Ovis aries: one gene and its partner. Each later gene encodes a partner of the first gene's protein in a complex. Links are inferred from orthologs where the notes say so. Each region holds a gene or a part of one and is shown on either strand. Other genes may lie near its edges.

Region 1 (4,118 bases):
GAGAAGAGTTCAACTCAAGGCTTCTAATGAAGAACAAGTAGTGTTACCCAGATTGTCAGCCAAGATGTAAGGAATGGGGAACTTCCACCTGGTGCTTGGATCTCTCAGGCCATTTCTGGAATTCTGCAGAAACAAAAGGCAAAGCTGACTGGACAGCTGGTCTCCTTGGCTTCCTTTCCCCTTCTGTAAACTCCCATATCACAAACAATCTGTCACACTATTCAAATAGTCAAGTTGTCTTCAAATTATAAAAACAATAAATATTCATTACAGACAATATAGAAATTTCCAGATAAATTTTTAAGACCAAATTAAGGATGCGTGTTCCTTGAAAGAAAAGCTATGACTAACCTACACAGCATATTAAAAGCAGAGATATTACTTTGCTGATAAAGATCCATATAGTCAAAATTATGTTTTTCCAGTAGTTATGTATGGATGTGAGAGTTGGACCATAAAAAGACTGAGCACCAAAGAACTGATTCTTCCTAACCGTGGTGGTTGGAGAAGGCAATGGCAACCGACTCCAGTACTCTTGCCTGGAAAATCCCATGGACCGAGGAGCCTGGAAGGCTGTGGTCCTTGGGGTCGCTGAGGGTCAGACACGACTGAGCGACTTCACTTTCACTTCTCACTTTCATGCATTGGAGAAGGAAATGGCAACCCACTCCAGTGTTCTTGCTTGGAGAATCCCAGGGATGGCGCAGCCTGGTGGGCTGCTGTTTATGGGGTTGCACAAGAGTTGGACACGACTGAAGCAACTTAGCAGTAGCAGTAACCGTGGTGGTGAGGATTCTTGAGAGTCCCTTGGACTGCAAGTGGGTCAAACCAGTCAGTCCTAAAGAAAACCAACCCTGAATGGTCATTGGAAGGACTGATGCTAAAGCTGAAGCGCCAATACTTTGGTCACCTGAAGAAGAGCCTACTCATTGGAAAAGACCCTGATGCAGGGAAAGATTGAAGGCAAGAGAAGAAGGGGACGACAGAGGATGAGATGGTTGGATGGCATCACCAACTCAATGGACATGAGTTTGAGCACACTCTGGGAGCTGGTGACGGACAGGGAAGATTGGGGTGCTGCAGTCCATGGGACTGCAAAGAGTCAGATGTGACTCAGTGATTGAACAACAATGAAAGAGACCTACATTTCCTCAAAACTGAAATAGTCACTTTCAGTATGGCGGTGGATTTCCTTCTCTCTCATTCTTCGTTTCTTAGGAAAATTGGGTGGACAAGGAATTTAATAATTATAGACTCTTTTTTCTGGTCGCTAATGATTTCATCTTTTTTTAACCAGCAACCAAAGCGGAAGTCTTTGTCCATACAAATTATGGCTGAGATTCTTTCATCTTCATAATGGTCATCTCAGGGCTGGACACAGAGCAGAGGCTCACTGTCCTGTCACAGCCAGTCCTGTGGGAATGTTCTGGTGTCCCTAGAAGGTACTCACCTGCAGGAGGATGTCCCCTTGAAAGAGGTCCAATCCTGCAGCTAGATGTGGATTTAAAAAGAGAAAGATTTGAACAAGAATTGCTAAAATGCATCTCTTATAAAATGAGTCCTTTCTATCGTTGTCTTTAGTTGTTGATCTTTATGTGGTTAAACTCTTTTTAAAACAATACAAAAATCCATTTTAATTGAACAAATGTAAAAGCTAATAAATATCATATATCGTCATATCCACTGTTGCCATTTTTTTGGAACAAGAAAACTTGGAGGGTATTCTGCTTAGTAAAGTAAGTCAGACAGAGAAAGACAAGTATTCTATGTTATCACTTACATGTGAAATCTAAAAAATAAAACAAACTAGTGAATAATAAAACACAAACATAGAGACACCGAGAACAAACTGTTTACCAGTGAAGATTGAAAAGGAGGTTAGGAAGGGCAAGAGAAAGGTAGGGGATAAAGAAGTACAAACTACTGTTTATAAAATAAATGTCACAAAGATACAGTGTACAGCACAGGAAATATATCCAATATCTTATAGTAACTATGAATGGAATATTATCTATAAAAATATTTGATCACTATGTTGTACATCTGAAAGGAATGTAATAGTGTAAATCAACTATACGTCAATGAAAAAAAGAAATCTTGTCCAAGAATCTTGAAAAGTGAGAGGTGAATTAGAAGGAAACTTTTTGGTCATCGGTATCAAAACTCTTGCACTCGAGGGATCGAAATGGGACTTCTGAGATAGGAAGTGAGGTACTAGGTGATCATTTCAAAATGAAGACTGGAAAAATGATTTTTTTATAAACAAAAATTTTGTTATATATTTCTAGAGCCACTGAATACTCACTAGTTCTAGAAAGTTCAGTCTAACCATTATTCTCTTTTCATGTTTCCATTTTTCAGAAATGCTGAAAATTCTAATGAAGCACCAATGAATAGTTCTCTCCTAAAGTTACTCAATATCATACTCTGAAAGTTAAGAGATTTTCAGCAATTCTATTGCAGGGTTTTAAATTATTTAAAGATATTAATAATGGCAGAAATTACACCCACCTAAGTTGATTTCTGAAATATCCTTCTGTTCGTCAAATTCTCCATCATATACTGTTAAAAGTGGGGAGAAAATTGTTATCAGTCTTGCTGAGCAAAGAAAAGTTCAGAAAACTCTCTATGTATTTCAATTAGTTCTTACCACTTCCTTTAGAAAGATGGTTAATCTGAAAGAAATAAATATACAGAAAAAGGATAACATATACTAGAATTAATATTTCTAAATACCCTGAAGAGCAGAACTCTACTTACCGATACAGCTGCTATGCGGGCAAAAAACAAGATGAAAGAAAGAATGCAAGCCAATCTCGTCCAAATCATTGTTGCAAGTGAACAGATTTTAGCAAAGACACCTTGTGATAAGCAAAGACACCTTGGACCTTGCTCTGGCTGTCTTATTAGAAACTTTGACCCTTACATATGTTCTGTAGCATTGAAGTCACAAGAGAAACTATCTTTGCTGCTTTGAGGACAGATACAAAGTTTCACAGAAAAGCTCAAGTTCCAGAAACTAGAGAAGTTTGAAAAAGTCAATACTGAGATGAGCACATAAAAATAAGTAACATTCCTACATACCAGCAATAACCATTCATATACATAGCATAATATAACAGGTAAAAGATCCATTTCATAATAGGAATAAAAGCTATCTATAAAATGATAACAAATTACTTAAATAAAAATGAATTAGAGTTGCATGTAAATATAAAGTAATTATTGAAGAACATAAAGAGCTGTGTATACACACACATATATATTTATTTACTATATGAAATATTCATGGACAGGAAGACTCAGTATAATAAAGATGGCCATTCGTTTGATATTAGTCTATAAACAATGTTATTTCAATAAAAATCTTTTTAAAAATATTTAATTGAAGCATAGTTGATTTACAATGTGGTATCTGTTTTGGGTGTACAGCACAGTGATTCAGTTTTATATATATATATGCATGTATTTTAGATTCTTTTCCTGTATAGTTTATTACAAAATATTGAGTAGAGTTTCCTGTGCTATACAGTAGGTCCTTGTTGGTTATCTGTGTTTTATATTTTATATACAGTAACATGGATATGTTAGTCTCAACCTCCTAATTTTCCCTCCTTCCCCCTTTCCCCTTTGGTAGCCATAGTTTGTTTCCTATGTCTGTGAGTCTCTTTCCATTTTGAAAATAAACTAAATATATCTTTTTTTCTTGATTCCCCACATAAGTGATATCATATGATATTTGTCTTTCTCCATTTGCTTTATTGCACTTAGTATGATAATATCTGTGTCCATCCATGTGGCCCCAAACAGTATTGTTTCATTCTTCGTTCTGGCTGAGGAATATTCCATTGTATATCTGTACCACATCTTCTTTATCTGTTCCTCTGTCGATGGAGATTTAGATTGCTATCAGCCAAATGAGATTTTATCTTTCCCTGTCTTCTTAGACTTATTTGCACAACTTACTCTAGTGGTGAAGTTGAAATCAGATGAATAGAAAAATTGAATCCTACATCTACCACTGGGCAGGTGTGGCATTTTGAGCATTTGCTTTCCATGTGTCAAAAAAAAGAGGGGTACCTATTTCATGGGTCTAATGTTGAGATTCAATGAGACAA
Region 2 (4,342 bases), on another chromosome or scaffold:
TAAAAATGTTCATTTGTGTCATATTTTAAATTCGACATATAAGCAATGTCATATGATATTTGTCTGGCCTACTTTACCTAGTAGCTAATCTCTAAATCCATGCATATTGCTTCAGATGGGATTATTTCATTCTTTTTCTTGGCTGAGTAATATTCCTTCATGGGCCTCCCAGGTGATGCTGGTGGTAAAGAATTCACCTGCCAATGCAGGAGATATAAGAGAAGCAGGTTCCATCCCTGGGTTGGGAAGATCCCCTGGAGGAGGAAATGACACCCCATTCTAGTGTTCTTGCCTGGAGTATCCCATGGACAGAGGAGCCTGAAAGACTACAGTCCACGGAGTCTCAAAAAGACACAACCGAGCATCTGAGCACAATATTCCATTATAAACACATATATACATATGTGCAAAAGTGTTAGTTGCTCAGTTGTGTCTGACTCTTTGAAACCACATGGACTGTAGACTGCCAGGCTCCTCTATCCATGAGATTCTCCAGACAAGAATACTGGAGTAGGTAGCCATTCCCTTCTCCAGGGGCTCTTCCTGAACCAGGTATGAATCCTGGGTCTCCTGCATTGCAGGCAGATTCTTTACTATCTGAGTCACTAGGGAAGCTTATATATATATATAATATATATGTGATCTTCTTTATCCATTCATCTGTCAGTAGATACTTAGATTGTTTCCATGTCTTGGCTATTGTAAATAGCACTACTATGAACATTTGGGTGCATGTATCTTTTCGAATTAAGAGTTTTCTCTGGATATATGCCTAGGAGAGGGATTATTGGTGCATATGACAATTCTATTTTTAATATTTTAAGGAACCTCAATACTGTTCTCCATAGTGACTGCACCAATTTACATTCCCACCAACAGTGGAGGAGGGTTCCCTTTTTTCCACATCCTATCAGCATTTATTATTTATAAACATTTTAATGATGGCCACTCTGACCAGTGTGAGGTAGTATCTCACTATGATTTTGATTTGTATTTCTCTAACAATTAGCAGTGTTGAGTATCTTTTCATGTGCTTCTTGGCCATGAAACAGAACCCTTTCTAGCCAGATTTAAAATGCTTTGGGAATCTCACCAGAGCTTCATGTATATGAAGGGCTTAAAGGGCTTAAAGCCCTTTTTCTGATATAACAAGAATGGTGAACCCAGGTTGTGGAGTTTGAAGTCACGGAGCACCATTACCACTGATTCTGGGCTCCAAGCCTGAAATAAAGGTGAGTGTGGCCAGGACATTGACTGGAGGCAAGGTGTTAGGGGTAATGAGAGAGGAGGTGATAGTCTTCCTATTCTGACTCAGCTAGAGCCTTGAACAGAAATCAGAATTCAATACCGATCTCCCAGGAGCCTTGACCCAAGTGTTTGTATTGATTTCTTGGGTAACAGGTACACATGAATGTGAGATTACTCTGGGGTCTAAGGTTATAGATAGTGGCAAATCCCATCCAAAGTACTGACTCAGCGAAATCTACATTTGGAGTTTCAGAGATAAAATAGAACATTGTGCTTCATATCCGGATCACTGGTTTAGATTGCGATTACAAAGCTGCTCAAATTGGCCTCAAGATCCTACAAACAGCCTCATTCCTGCAGCTCCGCACACTCACCCCTTCTCACCATAGGATGAGTGTGCTCCTACTCCTGGTGCTCTGCACCCTGGCCATGGGCTGCGGGGCTGCCTCTCCACCCCAGCCAGCCGCCAGGCCCTCGCCTCTCCTCTCCCTTGACTGCAACAGCTCCTATGTGCTGGATATCGCAAATGACATCCTGCAGGACATCAACAGGGACCGAAAGGATGGTTACGTGCTGAGCCTCAACCGAGTGAGCGATGCCCGTGAACATAGACAGGAGGTAAGTGGTGGTCCCCGGTGGGGCAGGTGTTTGCACAAGCTGGGGAGGCTGGCCAGGGCATGGGAACGCAGAGACACCTGTTGGCTGTTGCTTTCCGAGTCAGAAACCTGCTGAGTACACGCTGCTCTCCTCTGCTAGGGTGCTACTGCCTCTTAGTAGTATTTGAAACAAGTGCTAATGGTATCCACTCTGAAACGTGTCCCATCATTTACAGGAACACTTCACAAACATCAGAGCCTTTGGCTTTGCCATAAAACAGAGTTTCTTGGCTGGTCATTAGAGGTTTCTGCTTCATGTGGGTTGTGCATTTCTCTTCCCCCTTGCACAGGCTGGTCTGGGATCTCTGTTCTATTTCACACTGGACGTGTTAGAGACTGGCTGCCATGTGCTCAGCAGGACATCATGGAAGAACTGTGGAGTGAGGATCTTTCATGAATCGGTGAGTACTTTCCCCAGGAGCTTGAGGGGGGAAACTAGGTGTCCTCTGTCTACGGGATGAAGATTATTCAACATGTGCCATCTTTAAATGTCCCTCTTTATAATCTCTGGGGCAGGGTGCTTATGTGGTTATTTCAATTTGATAGAAGAAAGAATTTAATCAGACAGGGTTTCTGACGCTCCCACTGGGGTCATGACCTCAGAATAGAAATGTTACCCCCAAACTGTTTTCTGCCTCCAAAACCTTCCTGTAGGCTCTGAGCTAGGCTTAAGTTGAGGGGCAAAGATCTGAGGTATAATGCTCTGGATGTATGTTTAAGGAAAACTAGAAGCAATGGCAGGGGAGCTTTGAAATTTGTTTTAGTTTTCTTTATTTTGTTTTCAAGAACACTTATATGAGATTTGAGGCTGGGGATAGGGAGGGCTGTGGTATGGGTGCTCTCAGAGGTGCTATGAAAGGATTTCATAGTATCACAGAACCTAAAGGGAGTCAGAATTGATCCTTTTAAAGATGGCCATTGAAGAGGCTTGAAAAGAGCATCATCAGTTTTCATCTATCCTGAGATTATTTTCATTAATTTATATGAAACTTTATATGTGATATAAATGTGATATAAGTATCTAGAAGTGAAGTGTTTGGCAAAGATGTCTTTTTCTAGTCATTTAACCAAACTTGCCAAACTGCACCTACCTGGTTTGGGAAAGCAAAACAGTCTATATACCAGTCTATATACCCTGTTGTGAATTATGTTTGTTAGGCACCAGCTTAATAGACAAAACATATTTGTGCATCACTAGCTGCATTGGAGAAGGAAATGGCAACCCACTCCAGTGTTCTTGCCTGGAGAATCCCAGGGACAGAGGAGCCTGGTGGGCTGCCGTCTATGGGGTCGCACAAAGTCGGACACGACTGAAGCGACTTAGCAGCAGCAGCAGCAGCAGGAGCTGCTATAACACATATACCAAAAAGGATATACCAATTGCAAAATGATAGGACTTGGTTTCCCATTCATGTAAAGTTTAAAATAGAAATCCTTGATGAGGAAGGGGCTTTCCTCCAGGAGTGATTTGGAGACTGGATACTTCCATGCTGTGGCTCCCTAGACTCTGTAGCTTCACCTTGTAGCTTCAGTGGTCACCATGCTCATTGCATCAAGCAGTGGAAAGGGAAAGAGAATGGAGGGCAGATAGCATGTGGGAGGGCTTTACAAGCTAGACCTAAAAGTGGATATACATCCCTTCTGCTCACTTGGCTGTGGTTAGAGCTCATTTACACACAGTCATGTCTAAGCAGGAAGGAGGCTGGGAAGAAGTCAAGCTGTGTCTCAGGTGAAGGTTAAATTGTTTAATGATTAGCTGGCAGTTTACTCTACCCAAAAACTATGAAAATTGACCTTGAGTTTCTTGTTCCTTAAAAATGAAATGTCCAGTTTCATTTCAGGGGTATTTTTTAAAGTCTTAGTTCATTCCACTGTGTCATGAAGTGCATTTGTTGGTTCTAGGTTTATGGCCAATGCAAAGCAATATTTTACATTAATAAGGAAAAAAGAATTTTCTATTTACCTGCTTATAATTGTACTCTTCGCCCAGGTAAGAGATCACTTTCATTTTTTTCACTTTAATAACAGATGAAAACAGAGCATTTAACTCTCCTATGCTGTAGTGTATAGGGTTTCTTCCATCCTCACTTCTTATTCATCCCAAAGCCAGGTTCTTTGTATATCCAGCATTTGCACTGCTCCTCTTCCCACAATTAATCTTTCTAAATAACCTGCAAAAGCTCTACTTTGTGTCCTACATCAAATCCTAAATTTTCAGTCTGATGTAAATGGCACAATCTCCATGACTGGTCCCCAGGCTTCCTTTCTAGCTATCTGTGCCTTATTTCACTGACTGTACCGATTCTGCACTCCGTTCAACCAGATGACTCACTGTTTTCTGAACACACGTCACATTCTCCAATCTCTGCATCCAGTTTGTGTTCCTCCCTCTGCTGAGGATACCCTCCACGGATAACCTCTGCCCTTGGAACTCCTAA

What was found.
Region 2: the proteins of MEP1A (region 1) and FETUB are in contact, whole or in part, in a cryo-EM structure (PDB 7UAI), measured with the Homo sapiens proteins. The link is inferred for Ovis aries from reciprocal best matches to the Homo sapiens genes MEP1A and FETUB. Residues at the interface, in NP_005579.2 of Homo sapiens: Asp126, Gly127, Cys128, Trp129, Ser130, Glu131, Val132, Gln145, Gly146, Cys147, Tyr149, Ile152, His155, Glu156, His159, Tyr164, His165, Gln167, Ser168, Leu184, Gly186, Tyr187, His189, Asn190, Asp192, Tyr194, Tyr214, Gln215, Phe217, Ser218; in NP_001362516.1 of Homo sapiens: Phe109, Phe110, Lys144, Lys145, Tyr148, Met149, Thr150, Cys151, Pro152, Asp153, Cys154, Pro155, Ser156, Ser157, Ile158, Ser196, Ser197, Gln198, Trp199, Val200, Val201, Gly202, Tyr205, Phe206, Thr242, His245, Trp246, Phe249, Val250, Ser251.

What each region holds. Positions count from the first base shown.
Region 1 is NC_056073.1:19,969,982-19,974,099, reverse strand, and holds the start of MEP1A (meprin A subunit alpha), read right to left. Parts: upstream 2,840-4,118; 5' UTR 2,830-2,839; coding exon 2,761-2,829; intron 2,676-2,760; coding exon 2,651-2,675; intron 2,563-2,650; coding exon 2,512-2,562; intron 1,492-2,511; coding exon 1,451-1,491; intron 124-1,450; coding exon 48-123; intron 1-47.
Region 2 is NC_056054.1:201,343,507-201,347,848, reverse strand, and holds the start of FETUB (fetuin-B), read left to right. Parts: upstream 1-1,533; 5' UTR 1,534-1,638; coding exon 1,639-1,866; intron 1,867-2,194; coding exon 2,195-2,305; intron 2,306-3,806; coding exon 3,807-3,894; intron 3,895-4,342. UniProt on the Homo sapiens protein: Protease inhibitor required for egg fertilization.